5 linked regions of the Mus musculus genome follow. The protein of the gene in region 3 interacts with the protein of the main gene of each other region in a pairwise test. Links are inferred from orthologs where the notes say so. Each region holds a gene or a part of one and is shown on either strand. Other genes may lie near its edges.

The links.
Region 1: the proteins of Cib3 (region 3) and Tacc3 interact in binary tests that used the Homo sapiens proteins (3 or more experiments, as listed by UniProt). The two-hybrid records come from large-scale screens. The link is inferred for Mus musculus from reciprocal best matches to the Homo sapiens genes CIB3 and TACC3.
Region 2: the proteins of Cib3 (region 3) and Sertad1 interact in binary tests that used the Homo sapiens proteins (3 or more experiments, as listed by UniProt). The two-hybrid records come from large-scale screens. The link is inferred for Mus musculus from reciprocal best matches to the Homo sapiens genes CIB3 and SERTAD1.
Region 4: the proteins of Cib3 (region 3) and Enox2 interact in binary tests that used the Homo sapiens proteins (3 or more experiments, as listed by UniProt). The two-hybrid records come from large-scale screens. The link is inferred for Mus musculus from reciprocal best matches to the Homo sapiens genes CIB3 and ENOX2.
Region 5: the proteins of Cib3 (region 3) and Trim2 interact in binary tests that used the Homo sapiens proteins (3 or more experiments, as listed by UniProt). The two-hybrid records come from large-scale screens. The link is inferred for Mus musculus from reciprocal best matches to the Homo sapiens genes CIB3 and TRIM2.

Annotation. Positions count from the first base shown.
Region 1 is NC_000071.6:33,664,617-33,668,129, reverse strand, and holds part of Tacc3 (transforming acidic coiled-coil-containing protein 3), read right to left. Parts: coding exon 3,275-3,513; intron 1,438-3,274; coding exon 1,385-1,437; intron 1,088-1,384; coding exon of another isoform or gene 1,067-1,087; coding exon 963-1,066; intron 168-962; coding exon 77-167; intron 1-76. UniProt on the Homo sapiens protein: Plays a role in the microtubule-dependent coupling of the nucleus and the centrosome. Involved in the processes that regulate centrosome-mediated interkinetic nuclear migration (INM) of neural progenitors.
Region 2 is NC_000073.6:27,485,455-27,489,764, reverse strand, and holds the start of Sertad1 (SERTA domain-containing protein 1), read right to left. Parts: upstream 2,813-4,310; 5' UTR 2,687-2,812; intron 2,386-2,686; exon of another isoform or gene 2,280-2,385; intron 513-2,279; 5' UTR 510-512; coding exon 1-509. UniProt on the Homo sapiens protein: Acts at E2F-responsive promoters as coregulator to integrate signals provided by PHD- and/or bromodomain-containing transcription factors. Stimulates E2F1/TFDP1 transcriptional activity.
Region 3 is NC_000074.6:72,203,830-72,206,844, forward strand, and holds the end of Cib3 (calcium and integrin-binding family member 3), read right to left. Parts: intron 1,930-3,015; coding exon 1,734-1,929; intron 602-1,733; coding exon 580-601; 3' UTR 506-579; downstream 1-505. UniProt on the Homo sapiens protein: Acts a an auxiliary subunit of the sensory mechanoelectrical transduction (MET) channel in hair cells. Plays a role in regulating hair cell MET channel localization and function.
Region 4 is NC_000086.7:49,285,437-49,289,737, forward strand, and holds the start of Enox2 (ecto-NOX disulfide-thiol exchanger 2), read right to left. Parts: upstream 2,807-4,301; 5' UTR 2,665-2,806; exon of another isoform or gene 1,480-2,664; intron 1,469-1,479; 5' UTR 1,409-1,468; exon of another isoform or gene 1,407-1,408; intron 1-1,406. UniProt on the Homo sapiens protein: May be involved in cell growth. Probably acts as a terminal oxidase of plasma electron transport from cytosolic NAD(P)H via hydroquinones to acceptors at the cell surface.
Region 5 is NC_000069.6:84,256,972-84,261,113, reverse strand, and holds the start of Trim2 (tripartite motif-containing protein 2), read left to right. Parts: upstream 1-1,334; 5' UTR 1,335-1,789; intron 1,790-2,889; exon of another isoform or gene 2,890-4,142. UniProt on the Homo sapiens protein: UBE2D1-dependent E3 ubiquitin-protein ligase that mediates the ubiquitination of NEFL and of phosphorylated BCL2L11. Plays a neuroprotective function. May play a role in neuronal rapid ischemic tolerance.

The sequences.
Region 1 (3,513 bases), on a different chromosome or scaffold from region 3:
GTGAATAAAACATAGGCTCTCAACATCTCATCCCTTTGGACCACAGAAATTGCACCAAAGATATGAAAGTACTTACCGGAACATCCAAATCTCCCAAGAAATCTAAGTTGACAAGCTCAGCTTCTGTCGGCTTTCCAGAACCAGACTCCTCCTCTGTATCCTGTGTACTGAAACCAAGCACGCAGCAAGATCACTTTATGCTCTGGGTATTGAATAGGGCATAAAAGTCAGTAGTGTTGTCTTAACAAGCTTTGTGTTTGGGTCTTAGTCTAAAAACAAATATAAAAAAACCAAAAGACTAGGAGTTGAGAATGGAGAACTGGGCCCGACAGTTACTGCCTCAAGTCCCACCTGCCCACTCACTATGAGGCAAGCCTGATGCTTCCCTTGCTCATAGCAAGCTGTGCAGACAGTGTAGATACCTTACTGTGACATGGTGTCCTCAGAGTCTACAGGGTGAATATCTAGTTAGAGGGGGCAAATCTTTCCTCCCCTGGGCTCAAGGGTCTTGTGTTAGATTTAGCACATAATTCTCAGTATTATTTGATTGTATTTTTTTCTAAAGAGGGTTTTCCCACAAATGTCAGATTTGAAGGCCCTATGGTTTCTGTCACACCAATTCGAATCTGCCTTTATAATACAAGTTGTTATAGATGATTCATGAAGGAACAGGCATTACTGTGGAACTCACTCATAAAAACAGACTGTGTAACCTGGCCTAGTCTGGTACCCCTGCTGTGCAGTCATTGCTGGTGTGGCCTGTGTGAAGAGAGCATGGCAGAGCTCCTTACAAACATGGACTATCTGATAGGTGAGTCTGGCTCTAGGCTCAATGTCCTGTCTGTCACCATCACTCATTCTAGTTGAGATTAGCCTTTTTACAGAAGTTTCAAATCAGTACATTTAGTTAGCAGCCACGAGATGCCTTGGCTGGTGCTAACAGCTTCAAAGGAGGGACATACCTATTTGTTATTGGGGCCACCGGCATTGGCCGCAAAGGGCTGTCTTTCAGAAGAGGGTCAAATTTCACGTACAAAGACTGCTTCCTCCAGGCCGACTCCTTAAACTGAGAGTTGGAGAGATGGGACTAGGAAAATTAGCATGATTCATCATTGCTTTTACAGATACATTCCCAGAAGCCAGGATGATCTTGTTGAGCAAAGTGGTCTGGGGAGACCACAACATACCCCGATAAAACCAGGATTATCTGGGAGTGAGGAGAGTCCTGGGTCAGAACTCTGCTGCAAGACAAAGGCTCTTACACTCAGACTTGACCAGACATGATACAGAAGCTATAGGATGCTCCAGGAATCAAGGATAGATGGCCTGGGCTGACTGGATTACACATTTCAGATAAGGCTGTCATTAAGGGCTAAGTACCTACCGAGGAAGTTCCAAACTGCTCCAGATAATCCACTTCAGCACCAGTACCTAGGACTGAAACAATGAACAGTATTACCATTCACCTCAAATACTGCAGGCCCTGAGGGCTGCATGCCCAAAGGATTCACCAGAGTGGATCATTGCTCTTTGAAATAAATTCAGAGATTGTTTCCAGCACCCAAACTAGCAGCTTCCCTGCTTCTACGAAGAAAGTCCTAGGTGAGCTTCCAGTTTTATACAGGGAGAAAAAGTACTTTCTTTCCCTCTTCTGTATTCTGTAAAGACATTTAAAAATTCTACCCAAGGTTGATTAAATGTGAAGATGTGAAACCCATGGATAAAGACCCAACTTTTCCTTTTGGGGAACTGGTTCTCTAGTCCAGGCTGGCCTTGAACTTTCTATGTAGGTCAAGAAGACCCTGAAAAAAAATTTTTTTCCTTCCTTCCTCCCTCCCTCTCCCTCTCCCTCTCTCTGAGACAGAGTTTCTCTGTGTAGCCCTGGCTATCCTGGAACTCACTCTGTAGACCAGGCTGGCCTCAAACTCAGAAACCCGCCTGCCTCGCCTCCCAAGTGCTGGGATTAAAGGCATGAGCCACCACTGTCTGGCCTTTTTTTTTCCTGTTTTTGAGACAAGGAGTCTCTGTGTGGCCTTGGCTGTCCTCAAACTCTTTCTATAGACCAGACTGGCCTTGAACTCACAGAAATCTGCCTGCCTCTGCTGGAATTAAAGCCTGTGCCACCACTGTCAGGCTGGTCATGGTGTTTCATCACAGCAATAGTAACCCTAAGACAATACCCCATTTCCCCACCCCTCACTTCTAGAGACAGGGTTTCTCTGTGTGACAGCCCTGGTTGTCTTGGAATTGGCTTTGTAGACCAGGCTGGCCCCAAACTCACAGAGATCCTCCTTGCCTCTGCCTACCCAGTGTTGGGATTAAAGGTTTATGTCACCATGTATGGCTGGGAGCAAAAGTTTGTATGTGAATTAGTCAGGGAACAGCCTGTGGATAACTACCTGGAACCTGCAGGTACATAAGTGTCCACAGGGACTTTCAGAGAAGCCTAGGGTGACACCTTGGGGCCACATTGTAGGCATGTTATTGTAATCTGTGTAAAGATTATCCTTGTATTATTCAAATGCTGATTTCTCTGCCTCCATATCTGGTTGCAATCGGGACAAGGCACTGTATTGCTTATTTTAAGTATCGCCTGCCTGAATTTTGTGTAAATATTGTTCCCCACTTACTTTCAGAGTTGTCAATTAAAGCTGATCAGCCAATGATTGGGCAGAAGAGAGACTAGGGCTGGACTTCCAAGCCCGGGGGGGTGTGGGGGGAGAGAGAAGGAGAGGGAGGGAGAGAGGGAGATAGGGAAGGAGCAAGGGGGAGGGAGGGGAGATTAAATTCCACAGGAGAAAAAGAGACATCATGGGAACACACCTGAGCAGAGACAGCCAGACCAATACTAAAATGCAAGTATTTTGGCTGGGAAGTAGCCAGATTAGTTTAGAGTAATAGATCAATTACTATTACTACTATCAGCTACTGTGCTGTAAAGCTTATGAAATAAATCTTACAGTTTAGGGGGCTGGAGAGATGGCTCAGCGGTTAAGAGCACAGATTGCTCTTCCAAAGGTCCTGAGTTCAAATCCCAGCAACCACATGGTGGCTCACAACCATCCGTAATGAGATCTGACGCCCTCTTCTGGTGCGTCTGAAGACAACTACAGTGTACTTACATATAATAAATAAATAAATCTTAAAAAAAAAAAAATCTTACAGTTTCTGTTTCATTTATTGGGAGATAGCTGGGACAGAGAAAGGATTATTACTTTTAAAAATGCATTTACAAAAAAAAAAAAAAAAAAAAAAAAGCATTTATACCACATACCTTCTGATGGGTCTCTGAAGCTCTCTTCCTTTAGATCCACGACAGGTTCTAGTCCCTGATGGGAAGGCTCCAGCAAAGGCTCGATAGGAGGGGTCACCAGCTCACTGTCCAAGACAGGTTCTAGTCCCTGATGGGAAGGCTCCAGCACTGGCTCAATAGGAGGGGTCACCAGCTCACTGTCCAAGACAGGTTCTAGTCCCTGATGGGAAGGCTCCAGCACTGGCTCAATAGGAGGGGTC
Region 2 (4,310 bases), on a different chromosome or scaffold from region 3:
AGTCCATCGTCCAGCAGACAGCCAGTGGCTGGGCCTAGCAAGTCCAAGGCACCCAGGTTGGGTGAGATCCCCCCGATGGAGCGGCCTGGAGGCCCCTCATCTGCTTGGGGTTGGGGGGCCTGGTTCAGGTCCTCAATGTGGTTGAGATCTTCCAGGAGGCTGGCCATGGAGGCTGAGAGGCCAGCATCTGAGCTAGCCAGAAGGCTGTCTGCCACAGAAGGGGCTGGGGGCTGGATGGGCTCAGGCGGCAGGACAGGTGCGGGTTCCATGGACGCCTGGATGCGCCTCAGTGTGTTCACCACAAGCACCAGGTGCCGGAGGTCCGGCTCGCTCTGCCGCAGGCTGTGGTGGAGCTTGACCACTGAGAGGTCAAAGAGGGAGCTAGAAGCCACCGTCGGCGGGGTCTGCGCCACTGCCGGGTGGCTCGGATCCAACCAGCACGAGTCCACGGAGAGGGCTTCCATCGTCTCCTCCTCCTCCCGCTTGCGCTTCAGACCTTTGCTCAGCATCCTCTGCAGGGAGGAAGGAGCCATTCAGTTATGGGAAGCCAATACTCAGTTCACACCCAGCTCTGACAACTGCTGTCTGTGGGATCCTGACCAGTCGATTAACCTCCAGGTCTAGGTTTTCTAAGCAAATTCTTATTTGTTTCTAACGGGACAGGGTCCCGTGTAACTCAGGCTGACCTGCCCCCAAACGTGCTATGTAGGCAGCTTCTGCTCTTCCCTTCTTCCCCTTCCCAGCGCTGGGATTACAGGTGTGTGCCACCATACTTGGTGTATTTGATGCTGGGGATGGAACTTCCTGGGCCTCCTGCATGTAAGGCAAACATTCTACCAACTGAGTTATATTCTCAGCGTCCTCAGTGAGCTTCTGAGATACAGACAGCATTCTGTTATAAGTTGCTACTACAGATTAGATTAAAGGAACAAAAAGCCCTTGCAACATGGTCATTAGTACTTGAAATTTTACTTTTATTTTACATTTTTGTGTTTGTGTGTGTGCGCGCATGAGCGTGCAGATGTCCAAAGAAGCCAGCTGCTGGAATCCCTGGAGCTGATTTTAAAGTAACTGTACGCCATCAGATGTGAGTACTGGGAACTGAAATCAGGTCCTTTGTAGGAACAGCAAGCTCTAAAACCACATCACTAGTTCTTATTTATAAGCACTCTTTGGTTTTGCTCTTTTGAGACAGGGCCCCACACTGTAGTCCGGGCTGACCAGCCATTCCAGGCAATCCTCCTGTCTCAGTCTCCCAAGGGGTTAGGATTACAGGTGTGTTCCATTCCTTGATTACAAATACAGCCATCTTACACAGTTCAATACAGAGTATCTGCTATGCATGGAACTCTATGGTCAAATGTACAGAAAGTGGTAGGAAGATGCCATCCTGGGAGGTAGTCAAGGCAGGTTTTTCTAAGAAAGATAAGTACATTGAAGCTGAGTCCTGCTGTTTGCACTGTAGGCTATGGAGAAGCAGGGCCAGGCTTTCCTGAAAGAGCCAAAGGAAGACAGAGAGAGGTAAACCTGAACTGGGGAGTTTAAAAAAAAAAAAAAAAAGAAGGCCACCACACACTAGGAGCAGGCGCAGAGAGTGTGACACAGTAGGAGTCCCGGTGGGGGTGGGGAGCAAGCAGGAGGAGGCGCGGGCAGGAATAGGAGGCTTGGATTTTCAGAGTGTCAGGACAGAGTCATGGAGGGTAGGGTCTAGGCAGGAAGATGAATGGTGACGTTAGTTGGCAAGGTCTCTAGAGGATCCCCGGTAGCTGCTGCCTGGGGAAAGATCGGTGGCGGGGCAGCATCATGTGTGTGTGTGTGTGTGTGTGTGTGTGTGTGTGTGTGTGTGTGTGTAGGTTTGGAGATAGAAGTGGGCCTGAACTGCCTGCCTTCCGACTGCTGTACTCACTGGGATGCTGGCCGCTTGGGTTTAAAGCCTAAGCTGTTAGTAGTCACTCAAGGAAGTAAGGGTCCCGAACTTATTGAGGAAAGAGAGAGACAAGGGAAACCCTGAAGGGCCGCGGGAGTAAGTCATTGACAGAAGTTTGAAAATCGGTACTTTCTTCCAAGAGGACTAGAGTTTGAAGCCCCTAGCCTAATCTAACGGGGGCATAAAGGCCGCAGGGTCTCAGTCCCGGGGACGCTGCCTAGACCTAGCAAGACACTAAAAATCCAGTCTTTGCCCTTTTCGCTGAAGACCCGGGAGCCGGGAACCGCAGGAATTCAGCCCCCACCCCGACTCCGCCCCCCCGAGTCCCGGCGCCCCCTAGCGGTACTCCAACCTGGGCTCCCCCGGGGACTCCGGCCCCAGTGACCCCGGGATCCTTTAGATTCCCCAGGGTACCGCCTGTCCCTCCCGGGCCACAGCGAGCCGCGACCCCCGCGGGCCGCTCAGTGAGCCCGGCCTTCCCTCGCTTCCGGAAGGCAGCGGAGGCGGCTCCTCCCGGAGCGGCGGCGGCGGGGGCGGGTGAGTCACGCAGCCGGAGCCAGGGAGCCGGCGCCTCCGCCCCCTTCTCGGGCTCCGACGTGATTCACCCAGCCCGGCCCGGGCGGGCGACACATACAGGCCCTGGGCGCTCGATCCCGGTCAGCCCCGGCCACCATCTACCTAGCTGAGGTATCGAACACCCTAAAGAACCCGGCCCCCCGTACCCCCGTCTTTCCCCACCAGGCCCCTTCATTTACATACACAGATCACTCGCGGCCAATCAGAACGAAGAGGGAGCCACACGCAGCCAATCAGGAAGCGGCTGCCGTAGCATCGCTAGCTTGTTCTGCTCCAGCAACCGACACCTGGGACGGTAGGCGCAGTTCTGACTCCGGCGCACGACTCCAGACACTCGACTATCCCTAGTTCCCGCCCACTCGCGTGGCAGCCCCGCCCTGCAGCTCAGGGATCGGCTCTCGTTGGTGGTGGTGGGCGGAGCCTGAGCGGGGCCGTTCCAGAAGGAGGGGGGAGGTTGTCCCTAAAGCGCATGCCCAGGAGGACTGCCTGAGCGAAGGGACAGCTCTGGTAGCGATTTCCCTTGTGGGGCGATGACAGGTAGGGGTTTTGTACTTTAAAAAGTACAGGCCTGTCACTTCATGTGTTATTTTAGAAAACTGTATGACTTCTGGAAGAGGACCTACTTCTTGAGAGTTACAAAATTAACAGTTTTCTCAGTAGGGCTTAGGATACTGGACTCAATACAGTGAGACAACTGGATTCTACTATGATTAAAGACGGGAGTAAGGGGGGGACGGAACGACACCAGAGTCACGTCCTGGGCATCAGTTCCGGAGGAGCTGTGTGACTTTGGGCAGCAGTTTAAGTCCCTGAAAATAATTTCCTGCGGGGCGTGGTTGTTCACACCCATAACCCCAGTATGGGAAAACTAAAGTATGGGGGATTGCTTTGAGTTTGCAGCCGGACTACTTAGTGGATTTGAATCCAGCCTGGACCTCAGAGTGAGATCCTGTCTTAAAACAAAACAAAACAAAACAAAACAAACTAGCAAAAAAAACCGACGAACTTTTTTTTTTTTTTTTTTTTTTTTTTGCGACAGTTTCACTAACTTGCCCAAGTTAGCCTGGGAAACAGAGCAACCAACCCTCCTCAGCCTGTCAGTGACTGGAACCAGAGACTTATGCCACACCTAATATTCTTTTTTTTTTTTTTTTTGGTTGTTTGGTTAGTTGGGTTTTAGTTTAGTTTTTGTGTATGTTTTTGTTTGTCTCTTTGTCTTGGTTTTGGGTTTTCGTTTATTTTGAGACAGGGTTTTTCTGGGCAACAGCCATGATTGTCCTGTAACTCAATCTATAGACCAGGCGGCCTCTAACTCAGAGATTCACTAACCTCTGCCTCCTGAGAGCTGGGGTTAAAGGCCTGCGCTCCACACCTGGCCTTCAGCTATTCTTAAAATATGTTTGGAAAGGTACAGTTTAGTGAAAGAGTGCTTGCCTCACATTTCAGCATGTTAAACACCTGCACTTGGTTACAGCACTGAAAAATAAAATAAAGTAAAATAGCCTGATGATTTACTAAGAGTAGAACATTAAGGGCTGGAGAGGTGGCTCAGTGGCTAAGAGTACTTGTTGCTCTTGCAGAGGACCAGGCTCGGCTCCTGGTTCAGGTTCAGTTCAGCACCCACATGGCAGCTCATGACTGCCTATAACTGTAGTTTTAGAAGATCCAACACCCTATTCTGACTTTCTCAGTCACTCGATACACGTACTACATAAACAGCCAAACAAGCACAAACACAAATCCAAACAGTAGAATGCTGGGCTGAGGAGGTGGCTCAGTGGGTAAAGACACTGGTGCTGCTAAGTGA
Region 3 (3,015 bases):
GGAAGCCAGAAGAGGGTTTCAGGCCTGCTGGAATAGGAGGTTCAGGCAGTTGAGTCACCACCATATGACTACTAAAAGCCAACCCAAGGTCCTCTGCAAGAGCAGCAGGTGCTATTGATAGCTTTGAGCCACCTCTCCAGCCCCAGGGTCTTTAATCACTGGGTGATCAATCTGGCAAGATTCTGGGTGACTGGATTGTGTGGTGGGATGACTACTTTTTCAGCAGGTGGGTGCCCTAAACAAAGGCCCTGGAACATCCTTGGGCTCTTGGAATTCACAAGACATGGATGTGTGAGTGAAAAATGAGGCAATCCTGTGCTCAGGCTGGCCTCTAGATAGGAGCTGTGGTGTGACCTTGGACTTCCTCCATATGCTAGCTGTGACGTTCCTGTCCCTCTAGAGCTCTAGGTCCAGAAGTCGCCAGTTGTATGAATCCAAGATAGCAACCCAGAGTGGGTGCAGCCACAGCAAAGGCCACACACACAGCAAAAGGCAGAGATCCTGAGGCAGTTTTGATTCCTATTTATTCAGAGAGCAGAGTAGAGATGGGTGAGGGCCAGGTCTTGTCCTCTGAGCATGTCAGATGCGGATGTGGAAGGTGCTGTGTGCAAAAAGTAAAGGTGTCACTGACAGCTCACAGACAACACCCCATCAGGTCCCCAACACCTCCTTTCTACACGCAGAGGCAAGAGGGACCCACGGGCCTGTGAACCCCCCAGAAATCACAGATTTTCTTGTCCCCATGGGACTTGTTGGGGCCAGGTGTGAAGCCAGGGGTCAACCTTGGGGTCATTCTACAGGTGGCTCCCACAATATATTCTTTAAAATATTTCCCTATTTGTGTGTGTGTGTGTGTGTGTGTGTGTGTGTGTGTGTGTGCAGCATGTTATGTGAAGGAACCTGCAGAGGCCAGAATAGTATGCCAGGTCCCCTGGAGCTGGAGTTGTGGAGAGTTTCAAGCCATCACAGGGGTGCTGGGAACAGAACCACAAGAGCAGCCCCTTCTCCAGACCACAAGACCTGTTCTTGATTTGATTGATTTTAGGTTTTGAAGACCCTGGACACCTCTGTAGCTCATGCAGCCCTGGAACTCACAGTAATCCTCCTGCCTCAGACTCCTGGATATCTCAACTACAGATATGTGTGCCACCATGCCCAGATCTCCTTGGGAATTGTAAGCACCTACCTGGATAATATTCACATCCCAACTCCCTTCCAGACTGGCTGTTGGACTAAAAACTGGTAGTTGGCTACCTTTGAGCCTCAATTTACTCATGGGAGTGGCTAGGCAAGTAATGGCTCAAGCCTTTAATCCCAGCAGTCCAGAGGTAGAGGCAGGTGGATCTCTGTGAGTTCAAGACCAGCCTGCTCTATATAAAGAGTTCTAGGCCAGCCAGGGCTACATAGTAAATATAAGCAAAACCAAATCAATCAATCAATCAAACAGACAACAGAGGATGCAGCTCCAGGTTCTAGTCTTCTGACTGTATTAACTATGTACCCACCCCCAGCCTTACAGCTGAGCCTCTGACCCTATCCCAGGGTGCTGAGGACCATTCACAGTAAAACCCTGTGGCAGTTGATGGGAATGCTGCTTCTGTCCACAGGAGATGCTCACAGCCTCCTAGCTATGGACCTCAGGCAGAATGGGCTGAAACTGGAGAAGCTGGGGATGTTCCCTGAGGCCTCTGATGACACAACAGGAATTCTCATTGCTGGGTTTGAACTTTTACCTGAGGAAGTCTGGAGCTCGCAGGATCATATTTTGGAAGTCCTCCAGGGACAGTCGCCCGTCTTGGTCTCCATCTGCTTCATCCAGCACCTTCTCACAGACCAGGGTCACTTCCTCAGCACTCAGTTCCCCACGAGTCAGCCTGGTCACGGTCTGCTCCAGGTCCCATGCACAGATGTAGTTGTCATTGTTGAAGTCTGTGAAGCCGACAGTAGGGGGGACAGCAGGCAGCAGAAGGACACATCTATCCCCCCATGTTTGGAGCTGTACATGGATACCCAGAACTCATGCAGCAGTTATTGAGCACCTACTGATTACCCTACAGCTTCGCACCATGGGCACTGAGAGCCATTGAACCAGTGTGACAACTGTTTATTTTATTTACTGTGTGCCAGGAACCATGATTACTGATCTTCTCTTACTTCGGCATTTATGGAGTGCCTTCTGCATGCCAGGCACTGCGATAGCTTTTTCATTCATTCGGTTTATTGAGTGCTTAATGTGTCTCAGCCAGACACCCTGAATTCATTTCACAGTTTTACTCAACAAGCATTTGTTAGTGCCTTCTGCTTACCAGCCATTGGGATAATGTATTTATCCATCCGTCATTCACAACTGACTGAGCATGCACAGTGTGCCAGGCATATATATAACTGCTCTTCACTTATCCATACATTCAGCAAATATTTACTGGATACCTGCTATGTGTTAATTTTTTGACATTCATTCACTTAAGTATTTATTAAGTATATACTATGTACCAGGCATTGTGATAGCTGCTTCATATTCATTCTCCAGCTTATCAAGTATTTATTGTATGCCAGACCCTGTGGCTGTGATTTTTTTTCATTAACTCCCCCTACACATGCTGAAATAAGAAATAATGTAAAAGGTTGTTTTCACATTACAGAGCTACCCATATGCTCCTGATGACCTCCACAGCAGATACGGCTGAGGTCATACACAGGAGCACAAGTGATTCGATCAACAGATGAACCGTCACCTGTGGGAGCTGTGAACTGTTGGGGCCTGGAAGAGTTTTCCTGGTTCATTTACTGAGCAGCTACGGTGTTTCGGGAACTACAGCATCACTCTTCATTGATTCACCCATGAGTATTAAATGTCTACTATGGGCCAGACTCTGAGAAAAATGCTGTTATTCCATATGTCCTCATATTGAACATTGAATATTGTGCTCTGAAGAGAGACAGATGGGGGCTCCTGGGTGGCATTTCTTGGTGAGGGGCTGGGGCCATGGCTCCAGGGTAGAGCCACTGCCTAGA
Region 4 (4,301 bases), on a different chromosome or scaffold from region 3:
TACTGAATATTTGTCCTTAGATCAACTTAAGACTAATGTAGTTTCTATTTTTATTAGATCAAGTCCTATGCAACCTTAGGTTTGATGAGCTAATCCAGATGTTTTTTTTTTTCTGATACATTCAAGTATGCAACAAATGAACTTTTAAATGTGAGTGAGAGCACCACATAACTACCACTGGTCTATGCACCCCATTTGGACAGCCAATGGGCCTGTGTATTCATATTCAGTACCATTACAGCTGATTCTTCAAAAATCATGCTCAAAATGCTGTAGCGTGCTTTGCTTGGACCTTCCTTATCCTAGACATCTGTACCCAGCTGTGACGAACTGTTCACACTCTACTCTTATAGAGACACACATCGTTCAGAGTGATTCCTTTATCTCTAATGGCTCCTCTCTACCCTTCTTTGCCCTGCAAACTCCTTATTCCCTCAAGGCCTGTCATGTCACCTCCTCACAAAAGACGTTTCCATAACCTCCTCCTCTGATTAGCTACTCTTTCCTCACCATATCACAATGCTGTCTACCTGTTTCCATTCTCCTACAATCTTCTACTCCATGGTACCTCACAACTGTGGTCACCTAGCTCCCCGAAATCCAGTGAGGGTTCAGGCCTTGTATTCGATTGTATCTTCTTGTATTTCACGTGTACTCGGGTCCCAGAGGACATCTAGTAACCTGGGTCCCCTTGAAAAAGCTGAAATGAAATAAAACCCAAAGAACTGTCTACACCCAAATGATGTAAAGGTTGGACATAATTTTTTGTATAGAATCATCTAATTTAGAAAAAGAAACATTGACTATAATTTTGGCAGGCATAATCAACTATGGTTATAACAGTTAATCTAATGTGGTATTGGCAACGACTTTACAGCAGACACACTCTGACACAAAAATCCAAATGACTCATTTGGGTTTCTTCCAGGATGAACAATTGTACCTTAATCTTTCCTTGCCACAGTTGGAAAATCATGAACAAAAATACACATCAGAACTAGGAAACCATGGGCGAAGAGCATGGGCGTTCAAGTCAGAAGTTTGTACATCAAAACTCCACCTCGATTATCTCTAATCTATTTGTCTTTAGATATTTGCTTAAAATACCCAGTTTAGTTTCTTCTTCTAGAGAAATAGTGGAAATAATAGTACATATAAGACTCTCAGACAGTGTCACTAAGTGCTTATGATTCTTGGACATTATGTGGGCTCAATAAATAGGAGTCAATACTGTCTTCTAATCAGATGGTTACAATTCAGGTATTCTGCTACACAAGGACAGCAAACTCATTTCTTATTATGTTTATGGCACTTTGCTTTCTAATTGACAGATACAGGTTGTGGCGAAGATTAGCCACAAATAAAACATCTACAAGACAAAAGTTTCTCCTTATATTTAAACTCACACCTGGAACATACCACCACACTTCTTTGTGTTCTCCAAGAATTGATCTCAAATCAGGTTCCCCTAGGATGAAAAGGAAAATCACCCAGTCTTAATTTTTTTGTCTTTAATTTTATTCAATACAGAATAAATTCAAACTTTGCATATTCTTCTACCTGTCATGTCACTATGATCTCCCAATATTATCCTAGTATTATCTCCCAATATATCCCTGCTGATACCTCTTCTAGAACCATGTGTGCCTCTGTCATACACTCCTTCCTTTTCCATCCCCCACTTCTTATTCGCCAAGTCCTGCATCATCAAGAAGCATTTTCTTCCTCTTATGCTCCTTTTGAATCTCTTTTAAACCACTGGAGCCCAAATGAAAGGCAACCTCTTCCACAAAGCATACTAGGATTGTTCTAAGGAAAGAGTAAGTTTCAAGACGTCAGGAAGCTCTGAGTTAGGCTAGAACTTTTACAAAGCAGCCTCTCAATTCTATCTATTGGTGTTAATCAGATTTTGCTGGAAGCCCTTAATATGCTCCAGGTTTTTAAATGGTCCAATTTGCCCTCTACCCTCACTAGAACACTGTACTGAACCTTAATTGTGTATTTCTCAAAAGTAAGATTCTTTTTTTTTCTGCTTCCTATCCCTTCTGGAAATTGAAGGACACCTTTTCCACTCCAATGACTAGTTGAAAAAGGCCAGTAAAAAGAGATGAGCCAAGAGAAAGAGATTGAGAGAGAGAAAGAGAGAGAGAGAACACCTCATTATCAGGAAGCAGAAATGGAAATTGACAGAAAATCAAGCCCTGGGTTTAGCAAGGAATTTCCACTCGCCTAGAGGAAACGGGGGTGCAGGGTGGGGTCGAGTGGGGTTTGTGTGTGTACTTGCAGTGGTAGGTGCTCAGAGCTGAGCAACAAATTAAAGGCGGGAACAGAGCACCCAACTCCTGCCTGAAGGGGAATCCAGATGCCACTTTTTGGAGGCTCTCTCATCCTAAGAAGGAGCCTGCGCTGGGTGGTGGGGAGAGGGGCGGGTGGAGGTAGGAAATAAGAGAAGAGTTGGGAGGAGGGGGGACGTGCTTGTGCTTTGGATGCTAAGGCAACTGGTGCCTGCCCCCCAACTCCAGTCAAGGCACCCACCACCCATGAAGAAGCGGGCTGGGCGGAGTTAGGCGCCAAAGATTGCGGCCCCGGAAGCACCCTCCTCCCTAGACCCCCTCGGTCCCACAGTCCCCGGCCACTGCCACTCGGGCTTTCTGCCTCGCTGACCTCCAGCTCCCCGGCTACCGAAGCGCTACTCCTTAAACAGCCGCGGAAAATCGGACCCGCTCGGAAGTTCCTGGACCCGGAGTGCCCTCAGGGTGGGGTGTGCCCCACAACTGTCTTCCCAACCGTGCACCTTCTACTAGATGGCCTAGGCCAGGCAATGGGGCCCAATAGCTGGACTCTAACCTACCAGGTGACTATTGAAGCCTCTCCCATTGGCTAGGGCATCAGAGAACCGCGAGGCCCGAGCATGTGTCTTCATGGGAAATGTAGTTTGAGGTCACAGGAAACTGTTATTCCTCAGAAGTATCCAATATTTGCTTAGGTATCAAGGGATGCTAGAGGATTCTGGGAGATGAAGTCAAAATGCTTTCTTCTAGATACCCACAATTCCTCTCACACCAAGCTTCCTGAAAACCCTGAGTTGAAATACAGGACAGTGTTATGGGTATTGTAGTTTAGTGTGCAAGGACCCTCAAGCTTAGGTATAGAGAGCTTGTAGAGACAGATAAATGTTCGAGATTCTTTTGAATACTAGAAAAGTATTTATGTTTTGAGAAAGAATGTTTGCATTGCATTATAATTTGACATTTTCATTTGAAGTCTGAGTATGGTTGATTTTTTTGTTTAAGGAAGAATGCTGCTATCTAGCCTAGAACTGGCTTTGAATTAAGAATCCTACTGCCTAAGCCTCTTCAAATGCATAATTAAACACATGTGCTATGAACATATACATTTCCGTTTTGTTAAGATTAAATTTTTAATTAAAAATATACCTTGTAAAAGTTTGCCTTTTGTTAGAGTCATTAGAAAACTAGGTACTTCTAATTGGGAATTATATTTTCCTTTAGGACTTGTCATAATTAAATATGTAAATGTGATGTGGAGATACCAAAAGAAATCTACTAAATAGATAGGCAGTTAAGCTGTATTCTTGTATTGAAGATTGATGGCTTTGCCATATACTAGTATAATGCTATAGCTCATAACAGATGCACAATACAACTAGAAAAATATCTTACATATCTTCAAGAAAACATCTTTTAAGTAAAACTATGTAACAAGAGACCAGTAAATAAATGGGTGGATAAACACCAGTAGACCCAACTTCATAAAAGACACATTAGATCTAAAAACACATACTAATGCAAACACATTTAAAGTAGGTGACCTTAAAACCCCACTCCCACCAAAAAGCAGGACGAAAACTAAACAGAGAATTTCTAGAGTTTACACAACATCAAAAATCAAATAGACTGAACAGACATCTACAGAAATTACACTCAGACACTAAAGAGTACATATTCTTCTCATCAGCCCATGGAAACTTCTACAAAATTAACATGTTAGGACACAAATCAAGACTGAACAAACAAAGAAAAGAAAATTTGAAATAATATCCTACATTTTATTGAATCACAGTAGAATAAGGGTAGATATTAACAGCAATAGAAACTATAAGAAATACACAAACTCAAAAAAGCAAAACACACTACTGGATGATAATTTGGTCAAAAAACTCAAGGAGACAAATTTTTAATTCTTAGAATTGATGGAAAAGGAAAACAACACATCAAAACAAATAGCACATGATAAAGGCTAGGCTAAGGGGAAGTTTTATAGCACTAAGTGCCTACATT
Region 5 (4,142 bases), on a different chromosome or scaffold from region 3:
GTGCTTACAATGCCGCTAGCCAAGGAACCAGGGGTCCTTCCTGGAGTAAGCTCCTCCCATCACACTGGCTGCAGGCTCCCAGGCTGTGAGGCAATTTATTTCTGTTATTTAATCTCCTCACTTCCAGGTACTTTGTTTTGACAGATGCAACACACCAATACAAACCGTTTTTCTCTACTCTGTATTTACCTTCGCTGTCTAACCACACACCTGCCCAACCTGTCTTGCTTAGCCAGAAGGTCCCAAATACTTTAGAAATCTGTGTGGCTGATTTGTATTCTGTGACCTCGTTCTGAACCCAACTCCTGGCTTCTCTGGGTCCTCTCTCATTTTCTTCTACTTGTCCTGCCACAGGAGGCAGACAGGAGGCTATGACCTCTGTAGGATACCTTTGCCCCACCCCTGTAATGGGCATTTTATTTTAGTCTCTCTCTTGCTGTCTTTGGAGTCTTTCCCCTTCATTTCAAACTCACCTCCACCCCCTTTCTAGGTTGGAGTAGCCTTGTGAAATTATCTTTCTGCGGTGGAAATCTTATTACATCACTTGCCAGCTCCAAATCTCTCAGAGGGTCCCTTTAGTTTCTAGTCAGATGCCAAGGTCCCAGTTTACCTAGGACGACAAGCACGGTGACCTAACTTCTTTGCCATCCACCATAGAGCATCTATCTGTCTTCATTGCTCCTGCTCTGCCCCTAAAGCCACATTCAGGATCAGCTAGTGCCCAGCCTCTTTGTTCTAGAGCCTGCAGAAGCCCAAAATTTAAAAGGCTTGTCCGGGAGGTGGCGGCAGGTGGGGGTTGGAGGTGGGGAGCTGTCTTTGGATTCTAGACTGATTGAAAAGCCCCATCTGTGCTCTCCCCAACCCCACCCTATGTTTCTTTGACTGTAATTTTTCAGGGTTGGGAACTGGTAAGTCTCCCTAGCATAACCAGCCCAACACAGTAGAGCACTTGAGAGGAAGTAGCGACTTCACGCTGTCAAAGGCACTCCAAAGTGAGGAAGGGACGGGGGGGGGGGGGGGGGGGGCGGAGAAACAGCAATTTTGCCCAGCTGTTTGGGAGAATGAAAAATCAATTTGCAAAGACAGCACTTCCTCATCCTTTTCAGCGCTGACTGTATCATAACTGACTCGTGAATTGGAATTAAAGCAAAGCTTTTCCCCTTGTCACGGTCAGCAGTGTGTGCTTTCAATACCGAACGCCCGGCGGTGGAGGCAGGCTGCGTCGAGCTCGCTCAGCCCGGTACAGCTGAAGTCACTTCCCCTGCAGGGACAGAGCGTGCTTTCGTGGGGTGGGCGGGCGGGTGTGTGTGTGTGAGAGAGAGAGAGTTTTCCGCAGTAGACCTGAAAACCCAGCCAGCCGCGGATTGGCGCATCCCGGCTGCGGCCGCCTGAGTCATCCGAATCGTTCTGGAACCGGGCACCAACTTGCGTGTTTGTCCGCGGCTCTTTGTGCGCGGATCAGCTGTACCGTGGGCTCTGGCATCTAATCCAGGATTTGCCTCTGCGCGAGGCTTATGGAAAGCAGATGTCTCGCCGCTCTGGGACTGAGCACAGAATGGAAGTGACCCAGAGAGGAGCTGTTTGGTACAGACGACACGGAGGGAAGGCCCCGGCGCGGCCCGCGAGGCCAGCTCCGCTCCTCGCGTCCGTCCTCTCTGCCGAGCCCGCCGCTCAGATCGTGTCCCGCGAGCGAGCCGTGTGACCGTGAGGCCGCGTGCGGCGGGAGCCGGGATACCGGGGTCCGCGGCCGCCAGAGATCCGGGTGCGAGCAGCAGCCGCGAGGGTCGCGGTAAGTGTCCCTGGGGGTGGGGGCGTGAGGGGCGCGGGCGGTTTTTCGGAGCTGTCAGCCCGCCAGCACTGTTCCCGGAATCTCACGGACCCTCTGCAGACCCTGACCTGCAAGGAACGCTTGCAAAGTCATTTGACCCTGGAGTAGAAAGCGACTCTATAATCTTAAAGCTTGGAAAGGTGTCCTCTTCCCACCCCCACCCCCAACCCCATTTCTTTTTCTTCCAAAAATAAACAAACAAAAAAATGTTCTTTCTCTTTGAAGGAACTACTCAGCTAGATTCCTGTCTATTAGTTTTCACGCTTACCCTCTGGCCAAGCTCACGCTGCACGTCTGGTTTATTAAAAGGTGGAGATGTTGCCTTTCTGGGCTTTTTGATTGATGCTGAAAAATCTGCATGCTGCTGTCAAGATGTAAAGGATTGGGGGTGGGGAGGAAGCTTGTCCCAAAAATGCTTGTCAGATGCAAAGCATTCCGCGAACCCCAGACATTTCCCCATTTGTAATCTAATCGATTCCAGGGAGCAACTGACTTATTTTCTGCAACTCCTTAATCGAATTAGGGCACAGATAGCGTTAGATTCAAATACTTTTTAATTCTAGTGTGTGTGTGGGGGGGAGGGGGAACGGGACACGTATTTATTTATTTTGAGGTTCTGGGGAATTAATGCTCGGCTGAACTGATAAGTTACGGCCCCACCTCTCAAATGCTTTTTAGATAGTACATTTAACAGCATTTGAAGTTCTGAGAGTCTAAAGATTAGGCTACACGCTAGGATATACATGAGAGGTTGTTCTTGTGACAGTTTGCATATCTATGCCCGCCCCCCCCCCCGCGCCCGCTCAGGGTTGGTTGGTTTGTTTTTCCTTCTAAGATGGAGCTTAACCTTCACATCTGTATTCTTGAAATATAGTTATAAGCTCAGTACAGCATAACAAGTACTTCCAGATTCCTTCCTGGGGGCGGGAGTTACTGTGCTGGATTTTATATGACCTCCAGTTTCAGATTTCCACTCCATTTCACCCTTAACAGAGCCAGCATGGGCGCTTCAACTCCAAGCAACAGAAGAGCAGGAGTGATTCAGAGCACTTGGCCCACCACGGCCTTGAACCAAGACAGAAAGCATTTTATAGACTTTTTATGATATGCACTACATTCCCGTCCTGTTCAAACATAGGCTCATATAATGATTAAAGATCAATTAAAGAGAAGCAGGCCCTGCCTCCCTTCTCCCTTGGGTAAATACGGTCTCCCCTTTCTTCCCTCCCTCATTTGCAGAATTCTATTTCACTCAGTTACCATGACCTCATTTTGGATTGCGGCATACATGGGGCCATCAACTGTCATTATCAATGTTTGTTTCAGTGAAAATGTGCCCTGTCAGTATCTTCTGAGAACGTTTACTCAAACCTTACCTTTATTTTCCTAGAAAACTCTCCATGTATATAAATTGTACTGTGTCAAAAAAAACAAACATGGCATCCATACCTTTAATTATTCTTATATCATCCCGTTACTGGTGGCTTGTGTGGATTATTATTTGGTGAGATTGTAGTTTCTATTTTATACTGAAATACAGGTAGAGAGAACTTCTCATAGGACACTAAATATAAATAAATGGGTTTGAAAGTATGGCCATTAACATGGAATGCTCTGGCCTTTTCTTTAGTCTATTGACTCTTCAGGAAGAACTAATAGTTACCATGCAGTTCAAGAGTGGTTTGTTTAGAGTCCAAGCTACAATAATTTACCGCTGTCCAAATTCATCACTGTGAGGATGTGGCTCATTCAGTGGAGAGGACCCAACGAGGTAATATTACAGTTTCCAAAAAAGCATTGGGAAGGCTCCCACAGCTAAGATCCAATCAGCGGCAGGGCCTACCTTGTTACTGACATTCCTTATTCAGTGAGGCCCATCATGGTATCGTGTCCCTACTGAACAAGCAGCCCCCTTTTGGTCTGTCCTTACTCCCTAAACAGCCAGCAGAACTGCGATTCAAAACTGCATAGGTGTTACAATCTGAGATGACTTAAAATGGGCAGGGGATTGGCGTAGGTTATGAGCAAGAGAAGGTAGTTTTGTACAAGCACTTAGTTATATGCAGAGTTTAATGTCTACGGGGGTGAGGATGCCCTTGAACCAACCCCTTCAGATGCCAAGGAATTGCCCTATTTCTTATACTCTTATATATTAGACTTGAAAACTGAATGGTGAGTTAGCAAGTCTTTTTTTTTTTAAATAAAATATGCATTTACTTATATGCATTTTATGTGCATTGGTGTTTGGCCTGCTTGTATGTTGTGTGAGGGTGTTGGATATCATGGAACAGACAGTTGTGAGCTGCCATGTGGG